Oryctolagus cuniculus: one gene and its partner. The protein of the gene in region 1 interacts with the protein of each later gene in a pairwise test. Links are inferred from orthologs where the notes say so. Each region holds a gene or a part of one and is shown on either strand. Other genes may lie near its edges.

What was found.
Region 2: the proteins of FBLIM1 (region 1) and CUTA interact in binary tests that used the Homo sapiens proteins (3 or more experiments, as listed by UniProt). The two-hybrid records come from large-scale screens. The link is inferred for Oryctolagus cuniculus from reciprocal best matches to the Homo sapiens genes FBLIM1 and CUTA.

The regions. Positions count from the first base shown.
Region 1 is NC_091438.1:153,869,021-153,873,561, reverse strand, and holds the start of FBLIM1 (filamin-binding LIM protein 1), read left to right. Parts: upstream 1-1,732; 5' UTR 1,733-1,874; intron 1,875-3,561; exon of another isoform or gene 3,562-3,657; intron 3,658-4,541. UniProt on the Homo sapiens protein: Serves as an anchoring site for cell-ECM adhesion proteins and filamin-containing actin filaments. Is implicated in cell shape modulation (spreading) and motility.
Region 2 is NC_091436.1:135,730,661-135,734,143, reverse strand, and holds CUTA (protein CutA), read right to left. Parts: upstream 2,194-3,483; 5' UTR 2,148-2,193; coding exon 2,061-2,147; intron 1,821-2,060; coding exon 1,612-1,820; intron 1,490-1,611; coding exon 1,430-1,489; intron 1,313-1,429; coding exon 1,267-1,312; intron 1,157-1,266; coding exon 1,107-1,156; intron 959-1,106; coding exon 832-958; 3' UTR 744-831; downstream 1-743. Other genes in the region: PHF1 (PHD finger protein 1), read left to right, coding at 1-279. UniProt on the Homo sapiens protein: May form part of a complex of membrane proteins attached to acetylcholinesterase (AChE).

The DNA of each region.
Region 1 (4,541 bases):
CCACTGCAGGCCCGGGCCTCTTCCTCGCCTTCAGCGGCTGTCAGCACATTGACTCCCAGATCCCCAAGCACCTGTCCCCTGCAAGGTGGGGACAGCAGAGGAACTCGCCTCGGGGCACCTACTAAGCGCTGGGCGTTTGTATCCACACTCCCTGCCATCGCTGGGCTGCAAGAAGAAACAGGCCCGAGCCGGAGTCGCTCCTGGACACAGACGCTGCTGACAGCCGTGTCTGTCCCCGGCACGCACGAGCACGCCCCTTCTCTCTGCGGCTGCACACGCGCGTGCACACACACACCCCAGCTCAGGAAACAGGTGCTGGGAGAACCTGCTGCGTGGGGGATTGGAGAGGGGCTGGGGGGCCCAGGGGTCTTCTGAGGCTGAGTGCGAGGGTAAACCCCTCCCCGCCTCTCGCCGCCATTGCCATCCCGCACAATGCAGCTGCACAGGCCGGGCTGGGTGGCTCTGCTCTGCCCCAGCCGCAGCAGAGCCTGCCCGGACGGGGGGGGGGGGGCAGCTGGGTGATGCTTCCTCTTGGGCGGGAGGGGGTGGGGGTGGTTCAGGGAGCCTCTGAGGAAAATGGCACAACCCCTGGAGAAGAGCACACTTCCGTCCCGCACGCCTCAGGCTGGTTCCTGCTCTCAGCTATAGCTGGAGGGTGTGGCAGAATGTTCTGGAAGTCAGGTGAGACTGTCCCCTCCCAACACTTCCAGGACACTGACTATAGGCCAGACCCTGACTGTACCTTTTCAATACCTATGACCCCACATTTCTGCAAAGGGAAGCAGACGCCTCCTGCTGGGGTTTGCATGCGTGCCCCAAAAGTCTCTAAGTTACATCCCAATTCATAGGTTCGATGGTGTTTGGAGATGAAGAGGATTAGATGAGGCCATGAGCAGGCCACCATGATGGCGCCTATGGCATTAAGGGGAGAGGAAGAGAGACCCGAGCGGGTGCACCTGCTGTCTCAGTACGTGTGCCTTCTACCGTGTGGGACGCAGCCGGGAGGCCCTCACCAGACGCCGGCTGGCACTGTGCTCCTGAGCTCCCCAGCTCCAGAACCAGGAGCCAAGTACACTTCTCTTCTTCTGAAATGAACTGGGCTCAGAGGTTTCCTTCTAAAGAGAGCAAGACGCCTCTCCGTGGGCAGCTCCGGCCCAGCTGCCCGTGTCACAGGCGAGGCAACAGCAGCAAGCGGAGGGAACTGAAGAGGCAAAACGGAAGCCCCAGTCTGACCTCAGAGCCCGTATCCCCGCAGCTTCCTCTGTGGCTCCCCAACCCTGCCGCTCGACGCGCCCTGTGCAGGGGCCTCTCTGAGCCGTAGCCCCCCAGCCCCTTCTCCATTCCGTCATAGCACTGTCATCACTAACGACTGTCAATATGCACCCCTGCCTAGTTCTGTGGGGACGCTGCGTCTGACTTGGTTTCGGGGGCTCCTGCACTCACACCTGCCTTGCACATAGTAGGTACCCAACAAGTGGTGGAGTAGCCAAGTCCTCCAAAGGGGACAGCAAACTCCCCGGCAGCCTGGTTGGCAGCAAGGCCCCCCCCCGGCCCCGGGGCGTGCCCCCACACCTCCCACCGCTGCCACCCTGGGTCTCAGCAGCCACAACCTGCAGAAAAGCTTGACCCCTTTCCCTTGGGGCCACCTGAGGCCGGGAGGGGCCTGGCAGGGACCGAGCGGGGAGCAGGGCCTCCGAGCCGCCAGACAAAGGGCGTGTGTTCTGGGCCAGCGCACTTCCTGGGTTTCCGTTGCAGGAAGTTTGGCACCTGCCTATCGGTGACACCGACACCCAGGCTGGTGCGGGGAGGTCTGGGCCAGGACGGTGCCTCCATCCGGGAGCAGCAGGAGACGCAGCCCGGGCGCTACATGGCAGGTGAGTGGTGCCAGAAAGACCCTCCCCCCTCGGGCCTTGCAGGCCACCCCAAGCTGGTCCGGAACACATGTGGGAAGGCCCGAGGTCCCAGGCTGCCTCAGGGTGACTTTGGACAAGGCTCGGGTGCCCTGTCATGCTGTCTGCCGGGGCAGCGGGGGGGGGGGGGGAGCTCGGGGACTGTCCCGGAGGTACAGGGGTGGGGGGTGGGGGGCAGCTCCTCCTCTATCGGGCTTGGCCCAGCCCTGAACAACGCTGCACAGTGTGTGGGGGGGGGACATCACCGCAAGCCGGGGACGACCCCGACCAGGGCAGGGGCACCTTGCTCACGGCCTCCCTGAGCCCTGGCTTCCGCACCTGGGAAGGGTGGTGTGTGGGGGTGGGGGTGCCCACCCTTGGGGCCCTCAGAGCAGTGTGCCCAGGGCACCCGCTCCTCTGGTTTGAACCCAGCTCTGCCACTTGGCTCTTGTGAGGCCTGAGCCTCCCCAGGTCCCCTCTTTCCCCCGCCCCGCCACATCCCCCTTTTGTGAAGTGGGCGTTACCAGTCGGGGTGCCTAAGGGGCACAGAGGAAGGTGTACAAGGCAGATTCTAAGCGCAGCCACTGTCACTGCTGTGGCTTCTGAGGTTGTGAGACTCAGATGGGCAGAGGGCTGGCGGAGGCAGGAGGGGCAAGGGTCGGGGGGGCCGAGATTTAGGGAAGGGGAGGAGGGGGACACAGAGCAGCCAGGCACCCCCCACCTCCGGATCCCCAGGACCCCCCCGGGGAGGTGGTGAGCTGCAGGACTGTAGGGAGAGCCAGGCCCTAACTGGCTGTCCCCCAGGTGGTGCTGGGCCCAGCCATTGTGGCTTTAATCAAAAGAACAATCTGTTTGCCTCTGAATCAGACCCAGATTCCCTTTCCCAGCAAAGTCCCTGAGCCTCCAGGGACCTGAGCAGCCCATCCCGGCCCCCGGGCTCAGGTTCTGTCCATCCCTACCCCACTTCCATCTGCCCCAGGTTGGGGTCCAGGACACAGAGGGATGGGGTCAGGACACAGTGCCCAGGGTGGCAAACCAAGTGACCTGGCTGTCAGTGGGCCCTGCCTACCAGAGCCTGTCCCCTCCCCCAGGGTGCTGGGGTGCACCTGCAGGGATCCAGACAGGCAGTGACCCCCCCCCACAGCAAATAGAGGTGACAGGCTGCCCCAGCTAGGCGGGCTCATAGTGTGCCTCATGAGGTCAACCCGTCCCATCGTCTGGGTCACCTAGAGGGGCAGGCTGTGGGCAGATCCATTTTACAGACCAAGAAGCTGAGGCCCAGGGTCCCGAGGCTTGGCGAGCAGCCATGGAACCCAGTTCAGACACTTCAGCCAAAGCCCAGGTGTTAGCACAGGCCTCCGTCGGACCGGGCAGGCGGGGCCGCGGACCCAGGTGACCCAGGGCAGGGGGAGTGGAAGGGCCACTGAGGGCCCACAAAGATGCCAGGGTGCGCAGCGGGGCTGGACGCCCACCCCAGGCCAGGGGCGAGGGGCAGGGGCGAGGGGCGGGGAGGAGTCTCCGAGGGAACAAAGGGAAGGGGAGGGGGCGGCGCGGGGCGCGGCCGGGCAGGTGGGGGGGCAGGTAGGGGCCGCTTCCGCGGGGCGGGCCCCGGGCCCCCTCCCCCGGCCTCACCTTTTATGGTCACGCGGCGCGGGGCGCGGGGCGGAGGGAACGAGGGGCGGGGAGGGGCGGGCGCGAGGCGCCGCGCTCTGGGCTCTGCGCGCTCGCTCCGGAGTCCGGCGGGGCCGCGGGGGCGCGGGCGGCCCAGGTAAGCGGGCGCGGGAGATGGTGGCGGGGGTCCCAGGCTGCTGTCCCCTTCCGGGCCACACGCAGGTGACAGAGCGGGTGGCCCCGGGCCAGAGTCCACCCCGCCCCCTGGCTGGGACCCCAGCCCCGGCGCCCCTGGAGGGGGCTCTCCGGGACGTGGGGGCCGCTGTCCTGGCGTCGCCGCCCGTCAGTCCCTTCCCCGGTCCCGGGGCCGGGGGAGGGCTCCGCCCGGTGGCGGGGGTCGTGTCCTTGCCCGGAGAGGGGGGAAGCTCCCGCACAAAGAGGCCCGCGTCCCGCACATGGACTGAATTAACTCCGCGGCAGCGCCCCGCGGTGACCCGGCCCGGCCTGCCCCGCTGCCTGCGGAGGCGCCGGGTTTCCCCAGCTCCGGGCCCCCCGGGGCCAGGGGCGGGCGGGGGCGGGGCGGGGTGGGGGGCAGCTCTGCAGGCCGGGGCGACGCCCTAGGTGTGTGCGGTGGCGCTCTTGGCCTTGCTCTTGCTGCAGCCCAGAGCGGAGGGCCCCTGTGAGAGGCTGGGGCAGCCCCCGGATTCCCGCTCCCTGCTCCCAGTCACTTTGGGAGCCCAGTCCTGGCCCCCAGGGGCGCCTGCTGTCCCTCTCGGGGTGAGGGCTACATAACCAGCTGTCCTGCACTCCCCTTCCCACACCAGCCACCCCCTGGCACTTTGTGCAGGAATCCGGGCCCAGAGAGGGTAGGTGCCCTGCTCTGGCCGCCCAGCAGGAAAGAGGTGGGTTCCCGGGTGAAGGTTGCTCTGTGCCTCCTCGGCTTCCCTGGGGTAGGAGGGAGTTGGGGGGAACCCCCACCCCAAGGCAGCCAGGTCTCTGTGGGAGGGCGTGGGTTGGGGTGCAGCCCCCAGCCGCTCACCT
Region 2 (3,483 bases), on another chromosome or scaffold:
GAACTTCACATTGGCTTCCCCACAGACATCCCTAAAAGTGCCCCCCACTCGATGACTGCCTCATCTTCCTCCACCCCAGCCCCCTCCCCAGGGCTTCCTAGACGCTCAGCACCTCCTTCTCCCCTGTGCCGTAGCTTGTCTCCTGGGACTGGGGGAGGAGTGCGGGGTGGGGTTGGCTACCTGTCCCGAGGGGACCCTGTCCGGGTCCTTGCTCGGAGAGTACGGCCTGATGGCTCTGTGCAGTACCTGGTTGAGTGGGGAGGAGGGGGCATCTTCTGAACAGCCCCGCGGCTGCCCGCCTCCCTGCTCACACACACCGGCACTTTCATACCCTGACCTCTCACCTCACCTACAGCTGGGATGTACCTGGAGAGACAGGGGATAGTTCTCCCTCCTGCCCAGGCTGGAATCCATGGTGGGGTGTGGGGAAGAGGCTCGCTCTTCTCTGCCCCCTCCAGGATTCCTCACCACTCCCCCACCCCCATCTTACCATTTCCTTTTCTTTTTTTTTTTTGTTACTGCTTTTTAAATATTTTTAAAAATTATTTAACCCCTGGGTGCAGAGACTGAGGAAGAGGGGGGGGAAGATAAGAGATCCTGGACTCTGTATGGTTGAAATAAAGAGGAAAAAAACAAACCTAGCAGCCCTGCGTCATTCTGAAAGATGGAGGAACACGAGGACCAGAGCACTCCCTCTTCTTCCCCAACCGAATGTGCATATGTACAAGGAAAACAGGCAAAAGGCAGAGAGAACCAGACTGGATTTATTGCGGGCTCAGCCATCCCGGGGAGCGAGGGCCCTGCAGCGTAGGCGGCGACCGGGCAGGCAGGTCACGGTAGGGCTGTGCTCGAGTCGGGGCCCCGTTCTGTGACCTGCCGCACCCACTGCAGGTACGGGGAGTTCCCCTGCTCCACAGGCAGCGCAATCACCTCTGCCACTTCGTAAGGGTGCACAGAACTGCGAAAACCGGTGGGGGTGGGTGCGGCTGAGAAATGACTGACACGCTTACCCCAAGGGGCTCCCTGCTTGGGCAGAAACCCTAGACTGCTCAGCAAGTCCCGCCCACTGCACACACCCCCACCGCATCCATCTCAAAAGTTCTCACCGGACAAAGTCTGTCAAAGCCGGGACCAAGGAACTTTGAGTTTTAATCATCTAAGGGGCAAAGAGAAATACGGTTGGATGAGGGAGATGGGGTTGAATGCAGGGCCTCAGCTGAGGGGTAGGGGCTGGGCAGTTCTCTTGGGTGGGGGGAGGTTTCTCACCATCAGCACCTCACTGTCCTCCTCGATCTTTCCTTTCCACTCATAGCTGAAGAGGTCAGAGAGACAGAGGTAGAAAGTCTTGGGGAGCAAATCTTTTTCCCCCAGGACAGAGATTCCCAGCCAGCCCCGTGAGCTCCGGTTACCCACAAGTCCTGTGACTCACATGGATGTGATCTGAGGGATGAGGTTCACGCAGGCTGCCAGGCGCTTCTCCACCACAGCCCTGAAGGCGAAGAGACCGGGATTTCTGCCCTGGCGGCCCGGCCACAGACACAACCCCTCCTCCCCCCGCCCAGCAAGTCCCGATCACGACCACCCTTCTTCGCTCCACACCGAAGTCCCCACCTGGCGATTTCCTTGGCGACTTTCTCGTTGGGGCAGGTGACAAACGCCGCAGAGACCGATCCTGGAACATAGCCAGAGCCTGAGGCCGGCGGGGGCTGGGACGGGGGGATTTCAGAGGCCATGGACAGCAGGGCTCGGGGTAGCAACAGAAGGCGAGAGGCCACGGGCAGCAGGGTAGGCATCCAAAGGAGCGACAGGAGCAGGGCAGCCTGAGAGCAGGGGGCGAATTTGGTCTCTTCCCACAATTCCCCCGGGAGAGTGCACTTCAGGGAGCCTTCGCTGGGATAGATGCTCAGGCTCTGCCCTCCCCTTCCGCACTCAAGGAAAATGCCCCTAAAGCCGGGAGGGAAACTTGGAAAATTAAAGCAAAGCCTCGGTTTTCACACGCCTCAGCGGGTCCACCGCGGAGGCTACTTCGAAGACCGGAAGGGGCGGGGCCGGTCACTCACCCCTCCGCCGAGCAGGACTCCAGGAGCCCGTCCCCCCCTCATGCAGCCTACGCTGGTAGAGGAGACTTGGTAACAAAGACCGCACATAACACCGAGAAAGGACCCCCAAACCCAGGAAGAGCGGCCTCCTTACCTGGGTAGCAGCCACGTGACAAGAACTAGCGCACATCACGTGACTGAAGCCTACCCTCCCTAGCCTTCAGCGCTAACCAATCACGGCCCTCATTTGGCCCGAGTTACCCCTCCTCTAGATGAGGGAGGAGCAAGGGGAGATTTGGCCAATCGACAGCCGGATCTGCCGACGTGCGCGGAAATGGCCCGCCCATTTCCGTGTAAACCGAAAGGGCCTGTTGCTGGCTGAGAGGAGCCGCTGCGGCGTTCCACTGTCACGTGAGGGGGCCGGGCCTCCTGGGCGGCAGCACCTCAGAGAGTGATGCGAACGCACCAATCGCAGGCCAAGCCCGCAGGCCATGTGACGAGAGAGGGGCCGCTCGGATAGGGGGGCGGAGCCCCCGCAGTTCGATGCGTCAGGTGGCGGAGGGTCATCCTCAAGCCCCAGAGTGCCCCTAGTAACAGCCTTGCACTGTTTCAGCGGCCTTAGGCAGGGGGAGGGTCTGAGAAGACGGACTCTCAGGGGCTGAAGAGAGCGCCCCCTATCCATTCAGTTAGGGCTTACACATGCTTCAGTTTGGGAATGGACAGCGATGGTGTGAGGCGAAGCCAGCTGTCCCCGGGCAGGGGGCATGGGCATGGCTGGACAACAGCCAAGGGAAGAAAGATGCACAGCCCTGTATATGGAATAGAGGATGATGAAAGTCCTCAGCCCTCTTAACTTAAACTCAAAGCTTGAGACAGAGTGGAGAATCTGAGGAAGGGAGACGCGAGGGCTGCAGGTTGGGGATGGTGGTGACGGTCCTCTTGTCCCCTAGTCTGCCTATTCTGTCCAGGATTGGACCCCTCTGAACCTTGGGTCTCCTTTCCTTACCCCATCCCCCAAGGAGCCAGGACCTGTCCTACATAACCTCCCTGGGGCCCAAGCACATTCTGTGACCCAAAAATGGAGAGAGAGGGGCCAATGGGAGGCCAGAGAAATGGGAGGAGATGGCACAGACGGAAGTGCTGCTGCCCAGTCTCGCCCCGCCCTCCAGGGCGTGGGGTCAGTGATGGGGTGGGCGTGCCTGCAGATGACACAGGCTCCTGTCAGGGGCCTCTCATATTTACCACTCTGGATTTGGGGGGTGGAGTGGATTTGGAGATCTCTGAGAGATCTCTGGATTTGGATTTGGAGTTTGTCTCAGAGATCTCTGGGGTCTTTTCAGTGTTTCTGTTAGGTTCTTTCTCGGGACTTTAGTTTTCTGGGCTTTGTTTTGGGAGTTTCTGTGTTTCAGGGTGCAGTGGTTGCTGTCTCTGGGCTCTTGCAAAC